2 linked regions of the Schizosaccharomyces pombe genome follow. The protein of the gene in region 1 interacts with the protein of each later gene in a pairwise test. Each region holds a gene or a part of one and is shown in the gene's direction. Other genes may lie near its edges.

Evidence for each region.
Region 2: the proteins of mod5 (region 1) and tea3 interact in binary tests that used the Schizosaccharomyces pombe proteins (3 or more experiments, as listed by UniProt).

The regions. Positions count from the first base shown.
Region 1 is NC_003423.3:791,265-797,115, forward strand, and holds mod5 (Tea1-anchoring protein Mod5), read left to right. Parts: upstream 1-1,902; 5' UTR 1,903-1,996; coding exon 1,997-2,056; exon of another isoform or gene 2,057-2,284; coding exon 2,285-3,793; 3' UTR 3,794-5,050; downstream 5,051-5,851. Other genes in the region: BAG family molecular chaperone regulator Bag102, read right to left, coding at 1-615; prt1 (transcription factor), read left to right, coding at 5,319-5,851. UniProt on the Schizosaccharomyces pombe protein: With tea1, acts in a positive-feedback loop in the microtubule-mediated regulation of cell polarity. Involved in the anchoring of tea1 at the cortex as well as the correct localization of tea3.
Region 2 is NC_003424.3:3,213,853-3,219,990, reverse strand, and holds tea3 (cell end marker Tea3), read left to right. Parts: upstream 1-1,717; 5' UTR 1,718-1,923; coding exon 1,924-5,301; 3' UTR 5,302-5,478; downstream 5,479-6,138. Other genes in the region: cardiolipin-specific phospholipase Cld1, read left to right, coding at 1-1,039; DNA-binding transcription factor Thi1, read right to left, coding at 5,685-6,138. UniProt on the Schizosaccharomyces pombe protein: Acts as a cell end marker required for efficient new end take-off (NETO), whereby growth is activated at the cell end to generate bipolarity in extending cells. Also required for proper placement of the septum.

The DNA.
Region 1 (5,851 bases):
GTTTTGATTCTTGGTGGAATCTAGTTTACTCAAATATTGTTGAGATAAACGAATAGCTTCTTTTCTTTTAAGACGAGCTTCTGGGTCGTCTTCAACATTAACAGCATCTAATTTTATCATCCTAGCCAACAATGTTTCACTAAGGCGTGTATGCAAATCTTGAACATCTTGTGCCGAAGCGGGAGACGATTGGCAGAAGGCTTCAATTTTAGGGACGAGATCCTGTTGAAGCTCATCTATATATGCTTCAATTTGTTGCATTGCCGGGCTCAGTTTGGGTAATTCGAGCTCTAATTCACTTCCATTTTGCACATTTTGGTCGGAAAGTGAACCATCCTTGAGGGTCACCCCGTTTAACTTGAGAGACGCTTTGTCGGGCATTACTGAAAATGCGTTGCACACGCGACGAAGAAAACTAGTGTAAGAAACCATATTCAGCCTTGGTTGTCGCAACACAAAATTCAACTTTTCGCCATCGTAATGAACAACGACAATATCTTCGGTTTCAGTAGCTCTCTTTTTCAATAATGCGCTAATCAAAACAGTAACTGACAATACAGCTAGAGAGATCCAATATTTTTTATCCATAGAACACAACTGGGTAAAAAAAGACATGTTGATTTCTCGATGCTTTTTCCTAAAGTCAAATGAATGAAGAAGTGATAAACCGGTCAATAAGCAAGACTAAATAAGTCTGGGTCTTTATCAGATTTCCTTGGTAAATGAAGGAACTGGTATATAAAAATTTAATTGCTAGATAAGAGAGAGGATGTTTTAAATTGGTGAGTTGCTCTCGAACCAATTTCGCATTTGGTGGTTACTATGTAGGTTGTGGAGATGATAGTGTTATGAATTCTTTGAAATGTGAGTTTCTCCTATACAAACATGATAAGTCCGAAAAATGATAATTAAAAAAAAAAAAAGCTGTTTGTTGCCAAAATCTTATTCTTTTTGTTTTTGTTAAAACTTCTGCTGCAGTAGACTGACATGTTGACCTCAAATATCTAGTTATCATTTACGTTCATGCATCAAATTAAACTAATTCAGTTTCGTAAAGATCTTGTTTTTTCTCTTTTTAAGTTTAATTTTTGTTTCTTTGACAAGGAAGGTACCGAAAAAAGCAATCCATGGGATGTGTTTGATAATTGAACAAAGTGTGAATCTGACTTTAACCAGAAGTAGTAATGCTCTAATTTTTTTTAAGAGAATAAGTAATACTCTAAGGATCTTTGATTGCTTTCGGCGTAAATAATTGTTTATTTGTATGTATAACTTTATTCTGAAAAGCAAAGAAGAAGTTTCATATAAATTCATATCAGCAAAAGCGCATTCTCGGTTGATTTTATCGTTTAATGGTTGAATTCTTGGGTATTTTATACCTCAACTATTTTTTCAAAATACTCTTCAATAATTTAGTGGGTTCTCCCATTTGATCGATTCAATTGTTGGGGACTCAAATTGCATAAAAATTGAAGAACAGGATATCATGCTGTAAACAATTCTCCATTTCAACTTTCATTATTGTTACTCGTCTGCAATACCTGGATATATCAACACTTACTCCATCACTGATGTGCTTACCTATCTAAGAGTGCATGTTCTTGGGGACGTCAAAAGTTATGTTTCCATCTTACATGGATAAAGGAATCAGCTCTATTTGCTCTCAAGGGTAATTTCTATTAAATATCCATCTATTTCCTACACCTGCCTGAGAACTTGCTCGAATTATTTTTAAAAGAATATTTTAGCTATAAAAATTTTCTTGTGACCTTTTAATATTATGTTTTTCACCAATTGTTCCATGAACATTACTAAAAAGAGGGAAATATTCTTTTACAAAATATTTAACACGATACCAGCTCAACTGAGGAAATTAGCGTCGCGATCCGCGTACTACTAATTGTTAGCCAAACACCGGTTTCCCAATTCCCAGTTTTGGATATTCTTTTTACTCTCTTTTTTGGCTCTAATTGATCTTTTTCTTTTATTTGATTGCATGTCGGCTTTATCTGAAAGCCCTGCTATTCCTTCTTTTTGGAGACCTGAGACATCCGAGGTATGCTAATTTTTTAAGAAGATCAGAGGTAGTTTCTCTTATTCTTTATGTAAGACATGAAAGTTGCACCTGTACGCAAATTGCAGCTGTTCAATTTGTTGAATGGAGCCTTTCTTTCCGAGTACTACCCTATCTTGCCTGTTTGAAATAATGATTTGCTAACAAGTGTTGCTTGGGCTGCCCCCTTTTCACTAGTTAAGGGTTCAGCTTGCTGGCATTAATGATTAGATATCAAAAAAACCTCGACCAAACACTACCGTCGGATTTCAATTCGATAATAGAAATGTAGGTACAAGTGCTCCTTCTACTCCTGCTATCCGGAGAAATAATACCGATAGTTTTGAACGAGGTCTTTCTTTACCATTGCCAAGCAGCAAGCAAGATACTGGTTCAAGTGTACTAGATCCAGACGGAGATGCATACGTAAATCGATATGCTCGTCCTGTTACAGCAGGTAGTATTTATATTCCAAGTAATTACCACAAGTCTTTTTCTCCCAATACGTTTTCTGGGTTTAATGTAAAGAGAAGCGCGTCTAAATCTCCAAAAAGAAGTGCCAATGGTTCAACGTCAGAGGATATTAGCATTGAAGGATCTCCCTCTGAAACAGCCAAGGGAGCTAGATCATCTTTTAATAGTAATTTTCGAACCTTTGACATTGGAAGTGAGCGCCGAAGGAGAATATTGGAAGCATCACAGGACTCATCTCGTCCGGGAAGATACTCTTATAGGACAAAAAGCGCATCTCCAGCATTAATTGATACTTCGACCTTGGATTCTAGGTTGAATTTTACTATGGGACGCTTGGAACGATCCATTGCTCAGTTATCCAAAAATACGATGCGCGCTGTGTCGCATTTGGAAAATCCGCCAAAGGACATAACGTTGCCAAAATTAAACGTTAAGAATTCTGCTTGGCCGTTGCAGCCATATTCACCACCTGCCAATGAAACGCCAGCTTCTTCTTCTTCTTCCGCGAAGGCTCGACCTGTATCTGTGCCAGATATGTCGTCTCCCGTACCTGCTTCTTCAGTTGAATATGAGTCTCTCAAAGCCGCCGTTACTTATTCGCCTTCTCAAAATCCCAAGAAGGTTGCAGAAACCGATTCTGAATCTCGTAAATCGTCTTTTCAATCTTCCTACAATGATGCAGATCGACCTTTCCAGGTTGGCGCGCAGACGCAATCAACACCGAATCGCATTTCGAGGAGTGATTCTCCTATTGTATATGATGTAGACACTCATTCTGAAGACAACGCTAGTACAGCATCTTCGGAAGCCATTTCTCAATCAATGCGTTCTTTTCAACCTCAACCGAATACTGGGAGTCCATTTCCACGTTTTACTTCCACCAATACTGAAGATGAGCAGGAGTCAGATATTCCTCAATCGGATGCCAATGATTCCACTGTGAATTTGAACCAACCTAACTACGCCAATTTAACTCCTACACCTCAAGTTTCACCGAAACGACCTACTTACTCAAGAAGCTCACCTTTGCCTTCGGCTTCTGTACCCGCCCTTGGTGATGGGTCACCAGATCCTCCAGCTGCTCCGTCAATTCAGAATTCTTTGAGTGTCCACGAATCTGAAATGCCACCTCATGTAACCAGAGACTATACACAACCAGCTGCTAGTGCAACACCAGTACCTAAAGAAAAACCTTCTGAAAAAAGTGAAAAACCTCCTAAAAAGAAAGGTTCCAAATTAGAGAAGTTTTGTTGTATTTTGATGTAAAATTTATTTTTGTTTTTTTTAATATTTTAAGGATTGGCGTCGAAAGCATGTGTCTATGAAGGATTCAGATATCCAAAGGAAATCGTAATACTTGAAGGAATTAATTTAATGGTTGTTCACGTGCGTACTTTCCTGTCTGCTTATATCCATATTATATTTCCGTTTTAATGCATACTCATTTCAAGACACGTGTTATCATTAACGTTGATTGGGATACACATAACCTCTAGAATTACATGTTTCAAATCTTTTTTTTATTGTGGAGCGTTATGTTAAATTTTTTGCCTTGTTTTTTGAACAATAATAACATATGAACATTTAGTATAGTGTTTTAGCAGGAAGAATTTCATATTTTTTCGAATAATGAAAACTAGAAACGTTGAACTCATGTGGTGCATATCGCGTTAACTCATACTAATTTATACCGGGTTCGATTGGTCATGGTTTTCAGATCTCTTTAACCTGGATATCCGATCTTGGAGGTTAAATGGCATATTCTTGAGGAACTTTTAAATTTCTATTTGGTTTAACAAAGGATAGTCTTGCTTGTCCCACATTTCTTTTTCTCTACGAACTTCACTTTATTTTAGACTGGGCATGAATTACTTTGTACGACAAATAGAACAAAAGGATTTTTTTTTCTTTTGTTCATTTAAATCGGTGTTATGAATGAACGACAGACCATTAAAAGAAAAAGCAATTTATTTCACCTCACTGATTTACAGTCATTGGTAAGTTGGAACTTATAATTTATAGCTTTTGGAGTTTGGCGAGTTTATGAAAGCAAAATTAAATTGAAAAAGCTTTTTTTTAATTTTCTTTTTCGCAAAAGCTTTCTGAAATCTAGTGTCGAACTTTTATGTTTGCAATGTAGGGATGAGATGTTTTTTGAGAAGTCGGACTTCGGACTTCCTCCGATCCGTCTTAATTCAATTTTGATCCGTTTCCAAAGAAAACAAAAAGCTTTATTTTTAATTTATGTAACTTTTCGTTCTGTTTTTCTAATGCTACCCCTCAGGTATGTGGTAAATGTACCTACCTGTATAACTTAGTTTTTGTTCGCAAAAACTATTTTGATTATTTAATTTCAGTATTTAATAATGAAATTAAATCAAAATTTGAACGACTTTCATCAAAATTAATGAGCTTCTGTATTTTTTCTACATTTATTCCCAATTGCTCAGCACGATAAGTTTCGTAAAATCGGATTGATATAGTAATCTACACGCATCAACGTGACTAACACAACTTGGTTAAAAATTTTTATCGGAATTGTTAAAAACGAATAATTGGTGCTTAATTTATAAATGAAAGCTTTATTTCATAATAAATCGCTTACTGAAAATACTTTTTAAGGAACATTTTTTGGACCCGCACATTTTAACTACTCAGAAAACGAACGTCCTATATTGTAGGTATTGCTAAGTGATTGGCTTTTTTATTCTATTTTTTAATATCTTTGGCATATCTTAATATTTGCTAATCGACTGTCGTTGCACTTGTACATTGAAAAAATTGTTACCGGATGGAAAATTTGAAATCAGCATCGCCGGAGGAAGACTCACCTCGCCACGGGGATAACATGGGGAAACCAAAAAGAATTCCTAGAGCTTGTGACATGTGTAGAAAAAGGAAGATTCGCTGTGATGGAAAGCAACCTGCATGTTCGAATTGCGTTAGTCACGGAATCCCATGCGTATTTACAGCTAGACCTAAAAGAAGAACAGGTCAGAGACAAATGTACATTAAGTCGCTCGTTTCTAGATTAGAACAAATGGAGTCTACTCTGAGATCCGTAATTCCGAACTACGACCAGCAGCCTGATATTATACATCCCTCCTCTACTCCCAAAAACTATCATGATCTAAACTGTACGAAAGGCGAAACTTCTTCCGATGACTCCACCGACGATATAGCGTTTTTGAATGAAAAAATGGGGACTCTCGTCACTACTCCGATCGGTTCTCAAAAATATTTCGGCTCTTCATCTACCTTTTCCATTATTCAACATGCTGCAAAATTTGCATCAGGAGTTGAATCCGATAAAGTTTTAGAGCA
Region 2 (6,138 bases), on another chromosome or scaffold:
TAAAGCAACAGGAAAAGCGAACAAGCGAAGCATTGTTTACATGCATGGGTATGGAGCTGGTCTTGGTTTTTACTTTCGGAACATGGATGGTTTGACTAAGGGTGTGACAAAGGATTTTAATTCTTATTTTGTTGATTGGCTAGGCATGGGAAACTCGTCAAGACCGCCTTTCGATATCAAGGGGCAAACCGCTTCAGAGAAGGTCGAAGAAACAGAGAGGTTTTTCACTGAGTCATTAGAAACATGGAGAATCGGTCATGGTATCGAGAAAATGATCCTTGTGGGCCATAGTATGGGAGGTTATTTGTCTGCTGTCTACGCCATGCAATATCCGGAACGTGTTGAGAAACTCTTACTAGTTAGTCCAGTTGCCATTCCTGAAAACCCTTTTGCAAGCAACGATGATGCGGAAGTTTACAATTCCGTTGCTTCCTCTGCTGTGCATGCTGTTATGGATGAACCTCCTTTAAGTAATGTTACTAATGAGGTTCTGCAAACCCAAGAGGAAACTACAGGTTTAGAGCCTTCCCGGCCAAGCAAGCCAAAGAATCCTCTTCCAAGATTTATCACCTTCTTATGGGAGCAAAATGTTACACCATTTTCTCTACTTCGTTTAAGCGGGCCTTTAGGTCCTAAACTAATGAGTTTTTGGTCTAGCAGAAGGTTTTCAACGCTTCCCCCGGAAACGTTTAGGGCATTACATAATTACTGCTACTCAATATTTCGTCTCAAGGGTTCCAGCGAGTATGCACTTGGCAATTTGCTCGCTCCCGGAGCTTTCGCTAGACGATGTATTATGAATCGCTTGCGCATGTTGAAGTGTCGAACTATATTCATGTATGGAGATAAAGATTGGATGGATGATGTTGCTGGTTTAGAAGCGACAAACAGATTGAAGGAGATGAATATTGAGGCGGAGCACCACATAATTTCAAATGCTGGTCACCATTGCTATCTTGATAACCCTGAAGATTTTAATGAGATTGTACTAAAGGAGATACGAATGAGTTTACGTTCTTTTTCTTCGATTTCAGAGTAAATTTTTATTTTTTATGCCCTTCGCTTAGTGCTTCATTATTTTTATTTATTCTTTCTTGTCCTGCAAACTATCCCATGTGATGCTGTTATAGACCTCATTCATTAATTTATACTACACATTATTCTTTGGATTCCAATTGAACGACTTTTTTTTACCTAACTTTTTATCGGTCCATTTTGAATCGATTTTTATTGCATTGACGCTCATTTGCTTCATTTATCGCAATTTTATTTTTTTGTCCGATTACTTGTCCAGCATGTGTTTTCAAATGTTTTATTTTTAAAATGTGCCTTATAAATCAAATTTTGTAATATTTGTAGGCCATTTACTACAATTAGCTTATAAAGTAAATAACAGTTTTTGTGGTTGTCTATTTTAAATTCTATCCTATAGAGTAATTGGAAAAATACATTTTTCTTGCTCTAAGCTTTTCAAACGTGAAGCATATTTCGTACTTCTAAATTTCAATTCAAACAGAGCATTCAACGGTAATGTATACTATTGCGCTTAAACTTGTATCTACTCTCCCTTCTTTATGTTTAATGAAGATATAAATTATAAACATCATACAGTATTACAAAAATTTATTGTAGGGTATTGCAATTGTATTCGTTGTTCTAAGACTTCTCTACTCTAAGTTGCCGTTTCCTGATGGACTGTGTGTTTCCATTACCCTCCACAAGTTATGCTCTTTTCATATTATTTCGAAAATTTTACTTTTTAATTCTTTTTTAAAACTAAAATATATATTTTTTCTATTTTATTTCTTTTTTAAGCGTAAAAACCGAACCTTTTAAAAAACTCCTTGGATTAAACTTTCGCTTTGATTACCATCTGCAACTGCAAAACCAGTAAGCGATTTTGCAAGGTAAAGATCGCAATACATGGTTCAAAAGGTTTTAAGCCGTCAATCGGATAACTCTCAGGATGTGTCTGCTGAACAGCTTGATGTAGTGGAATCCGGTAGCATTGATCAGCAAAATATACGTGCATGGGTTGTTCGCAAAGTCAAAGAAAATGATAAAAGGACATCTACGAACCAAAGTTTTAAATGGGAAGCTGTAAAACCGGCTTCTTGTCTAGATGCTGCGAATGAAAAATTCATGTACTTACATGGAGGACGAGAAAAATCTGGTATTTCAAACTCTTTGTTTAAGTTGGACCTGGATTCATGCACGGTTTATTCTCACAATAGAGGGGAAGACAATGATTCTCCTGCTCGAGTTGGTCATTCTATCGTTTGTTCTGCTGACACTATTTATCTTTTCGGAGGATGCGACTCAGAAACAGATTCCACATTTGAAGTTGGCGATAATTCATTGTACGCATACAATTTCAAGAGTAATCAATGGAATTTGGTTTCAACACAGTCCCCCTTACCATCGCCTCGCACTGGACATTCTATGTTGTTAGTTGACTCTAAATTATGGATATTTGGGGGTGAATGTCAAGGAAAATATTTGAATGATATACATTTGTTTGATACCAAAGGGGTTGATCGGAGGACGCAATCAGAACTCAAGCAAAAGGCAAATGCAAATAATGTTGAAAAGGCTAATATGGAATTTGATGAGACTGATTGGTCATGGGAAACACCGTTTTTGCATAGCTCATCCCCTCCACCTCGTTCAAATCACTCAGTTACTCTTGTCCAAGGAAAAATATTTGTACATGGAGGGCATAATGATACTGGTCCATTAAGTGATCTTTGGCTTTTTGATTTAGAAACACTTTCATGGACCGAGGTTCGTTCTATAGGAAGATTTCCAGGTCCGCGGGAAGGTCATCAAGCTACTACAATAGATGACACGGTTTACATTTATGGTGGTCGTGATAATAAAGGGTTGATACTCAACGAGCTTTGGGCTTTTAATTATAGTCAACAGCGGTGGTCCTTAGTCTCAAATCCGATCCCTATTTTGCTTTCTGATTCATCTTCATACAAAATTGTTTCAAAAAACAATCATATTTTACTATTATATCTTAATGCACTTGACGCTCCTAAGCAACTGTTATGTTATGAAGCAGATCCCAAAAATTTGTATTGGGATAAGGATAAATTTTCTGATATTCCTGTTCTTCAGCATATTAGCATGAAACCTTCAAATGCTTCAAACCACACGGTTTCTCTTGGTTACCTAAACGACCGTCCTAATCATTCCAAAAAGAATTCTGTGACATCCACCTCGTCTAGTCAATTTAACAATTTTTTGGAGCAAAATCAAAAAGCCGTAAGATCAGCTAGGCATCGGCACTATGCTAGCTTGGATGAACAAGGATTACATTCTTTGAGAAACCTTAGTAAAACCTCTGGAATGAATCATTCAGCAGATTTCTCTCTTCACGAGTTTGGGCAAGCTGACCCCTTTGCTTACGAAATTGAGAAACCTATTGCGTCTCTTCCTTTACCTAATGGAAACGATACTATTTCTAGGTCTTCCGAATCTTCATCTCCAATCAACGAAAGTGAAAGTAATTCTCTGCTTAAACTCCAATCAGATTTTAAGTTTTCTAATTCTGATGATCGTGTAGCTTGGCTTGAGGAGCAACTGTTATATTGTATGCAACAAGGCTATACTCTCAAACCTCCTAACCTGTTTCAACACGTTGATGAAAAATTGAGGCTTGAGAAAAAAGAGCAGCTCAGTTATTTGGAAATACTGAAGGTGATTGAGCAAATGCTTGAATCTAATGAACAAAAGTTTAAAAAGCAAATCGTTAGCCTAGCATCTGAAAACGCAAAATTGGCTGCTCAGAGAGATGCTGCCGTGGAAAATGCAAATTATTCACGTTCACTGATCCAGAAAAAGACAACGGACGAAACTGTTGGATCTTTAATAGAAAAAGTTGGAAAGTTAGAGTACGAAGTTCAAGGGACTCTTGAAGAGGCAACCTCTTATTATCAAAAAAATACTGAACTTCAACAGTTATTGAAGCAAAATGAATCCGCTTCTGAACTCTTAAAATCTCGAAATGAGAAACTTTGTGTAGATTATGATAAACTTCGTAGTGTGTTTGAAGAAGATTCATCAAAAATACTATCTTTACAAAAAGAAAATGAAAACCTACAATCACAGATATTGCAAATTTCAGAAGAGTTAGTCGATTATCGTTCTCGTTGCGAGGCTTTGGAGTATGGAAATTATGAGCTGGAAACGAAGCTAATTGAGATGCATGATCGAGTGGAGATGCAGACAAATGTGATTGAAGCATCCGCTAGTGCTCTTGATGTGTCCAATACTGCCATATTGTCTTTTGAAGATTCGCTCCGTAGAGAAAGGGATGAGAAAAGTACGTTGCAACAGAAGTGCTTAAATTTACAGTACGAATATGAGAATGTTCGGATTGAGTTGGAAAATTTGCAATCTCGTGCGCTAGAGTTGGAGTCAGCCTTAGAACAATCAGTGTCTGATGCTAAATACTCGAAAGCTATAATGCAAAGCGGATTATCAAAGTTATTATCTTCTATTAACGAAAATAAAGATAATCTTAAAGAGTTTTCGAAGTCGAAACAAAAGATCTCCTACTTGGAGTCTCAGCTAGAAGGGCTTCACGAGTTGTTACGTGAGTCCCAGAGACTTTGTGAGGGTCGCACTAAAGAGCTACTAAATTCTCAGCAAAAGCTCTATGATCTAAAGCATTCATATTCCTCTGTAATGACAGAGAAAAGTAAACTTTCTGATCAGGTCAATGATCTTACCGAGCAAGCAAAAATTACTCAGCGTAAGCTCTCTGAGGTACAAATTGCATTGGCTGATTCAAAAATGAATCAACAGTTATCAGGAAAGGACTCTACTGACGTTCATCTTCCTACGGACTTTTCAGCTTCCTCCTCTCCCTTAAGATCATACTTTAACGAAGAGGATTCATTCAATAATGCTAGTGCTGCACATAGTTCAAAAGAATCTGACATACCTTCTGGTGGTGTGTTTACAAAATATCGTAATCATTTTGGTAATTTGATGACATCTGAAGAAACAAAAGCCCCGGATAACAATGATTTACATAAAAGACTTTCTGATGTTATCAACAGTCAGCAAAAATTTTTGTCTTTGTCCCCTCAGGTATCTAAAGATTATTATGATGTTCGCTCAAAACTAAATGATACCGCGGGCTCATTTTCAGGTGAAGAAATGCGTGCAATTGATGATAATTACTATGCCAGTCGTATTAAGCAACTGGAGGATGATTATCAAAAAGCCATAACATATGCCAATTGCTCAGATGAGTCATTTCAGCAGCTTAGTCATTCATTTATGTAACTCTATTCATCAACTAAGGATTTTTTATCTCTTTTTTGGTTTGTACAATTTTCTTAATAATTTTTTGAAGTGGTTTGATTTTTTCTACTTAATCTCAAGTCGTTTGACTACGTATGTAAATTACCACTATATTTAACAATAAAATACGCAATTATTTCTACTGCATTTACATTGACTCATTTATATTTTAAAAAGTAATGAAATTTAATTAACTTTTAAAAAGTAAGAGAAAATTTAAAGTATTAGATTGATGAGGATACTCTCAAGTGCAAATTACTAAACTGGTATTAAATGCTAATTCCTTAACCACGCGAACAAAGCATATGATGAATTACGTAGAAATAATTAAAACAAACAAAGACCTGCAAAAAACCATTAAAGATTCATCCATTTTTTTCAAGGGTCAAATTTGAAGTTTGCTCTGCAGTATGCGAAGACTGCTCAGAGACATTAGTAGGGCCTAGCAGTTCCGTCCAACTCAAAAACGTAGGAGCCGTCCATTGTTTATCAACTTCCAAATTGAGAACTGGATCCGGTAGAAAAGTTTCAGGTGTGAGCAAACTGGGTTGGTTACTAACATAACTTTTGTTTAGACCCGGAACATTATAGAGAGATGATGTTTGGTCAAAAGGTTGGAATGCTTCGTTTGGAGTACTATTACTACCATTTGAGCTTTCTCCTGTAAGCTTAAAGGTAGAAAGCATGTCTCCATGTGACATATCTCCCACCCAGGATTGCCAATTTTGAAAACTATTTTGGAAATCTGCAATCGGATTATTAATGTCTGGGGCATTGCGCCTAGATAACTGTTTGTTAAATGACTTAAGGTAGTTTAGA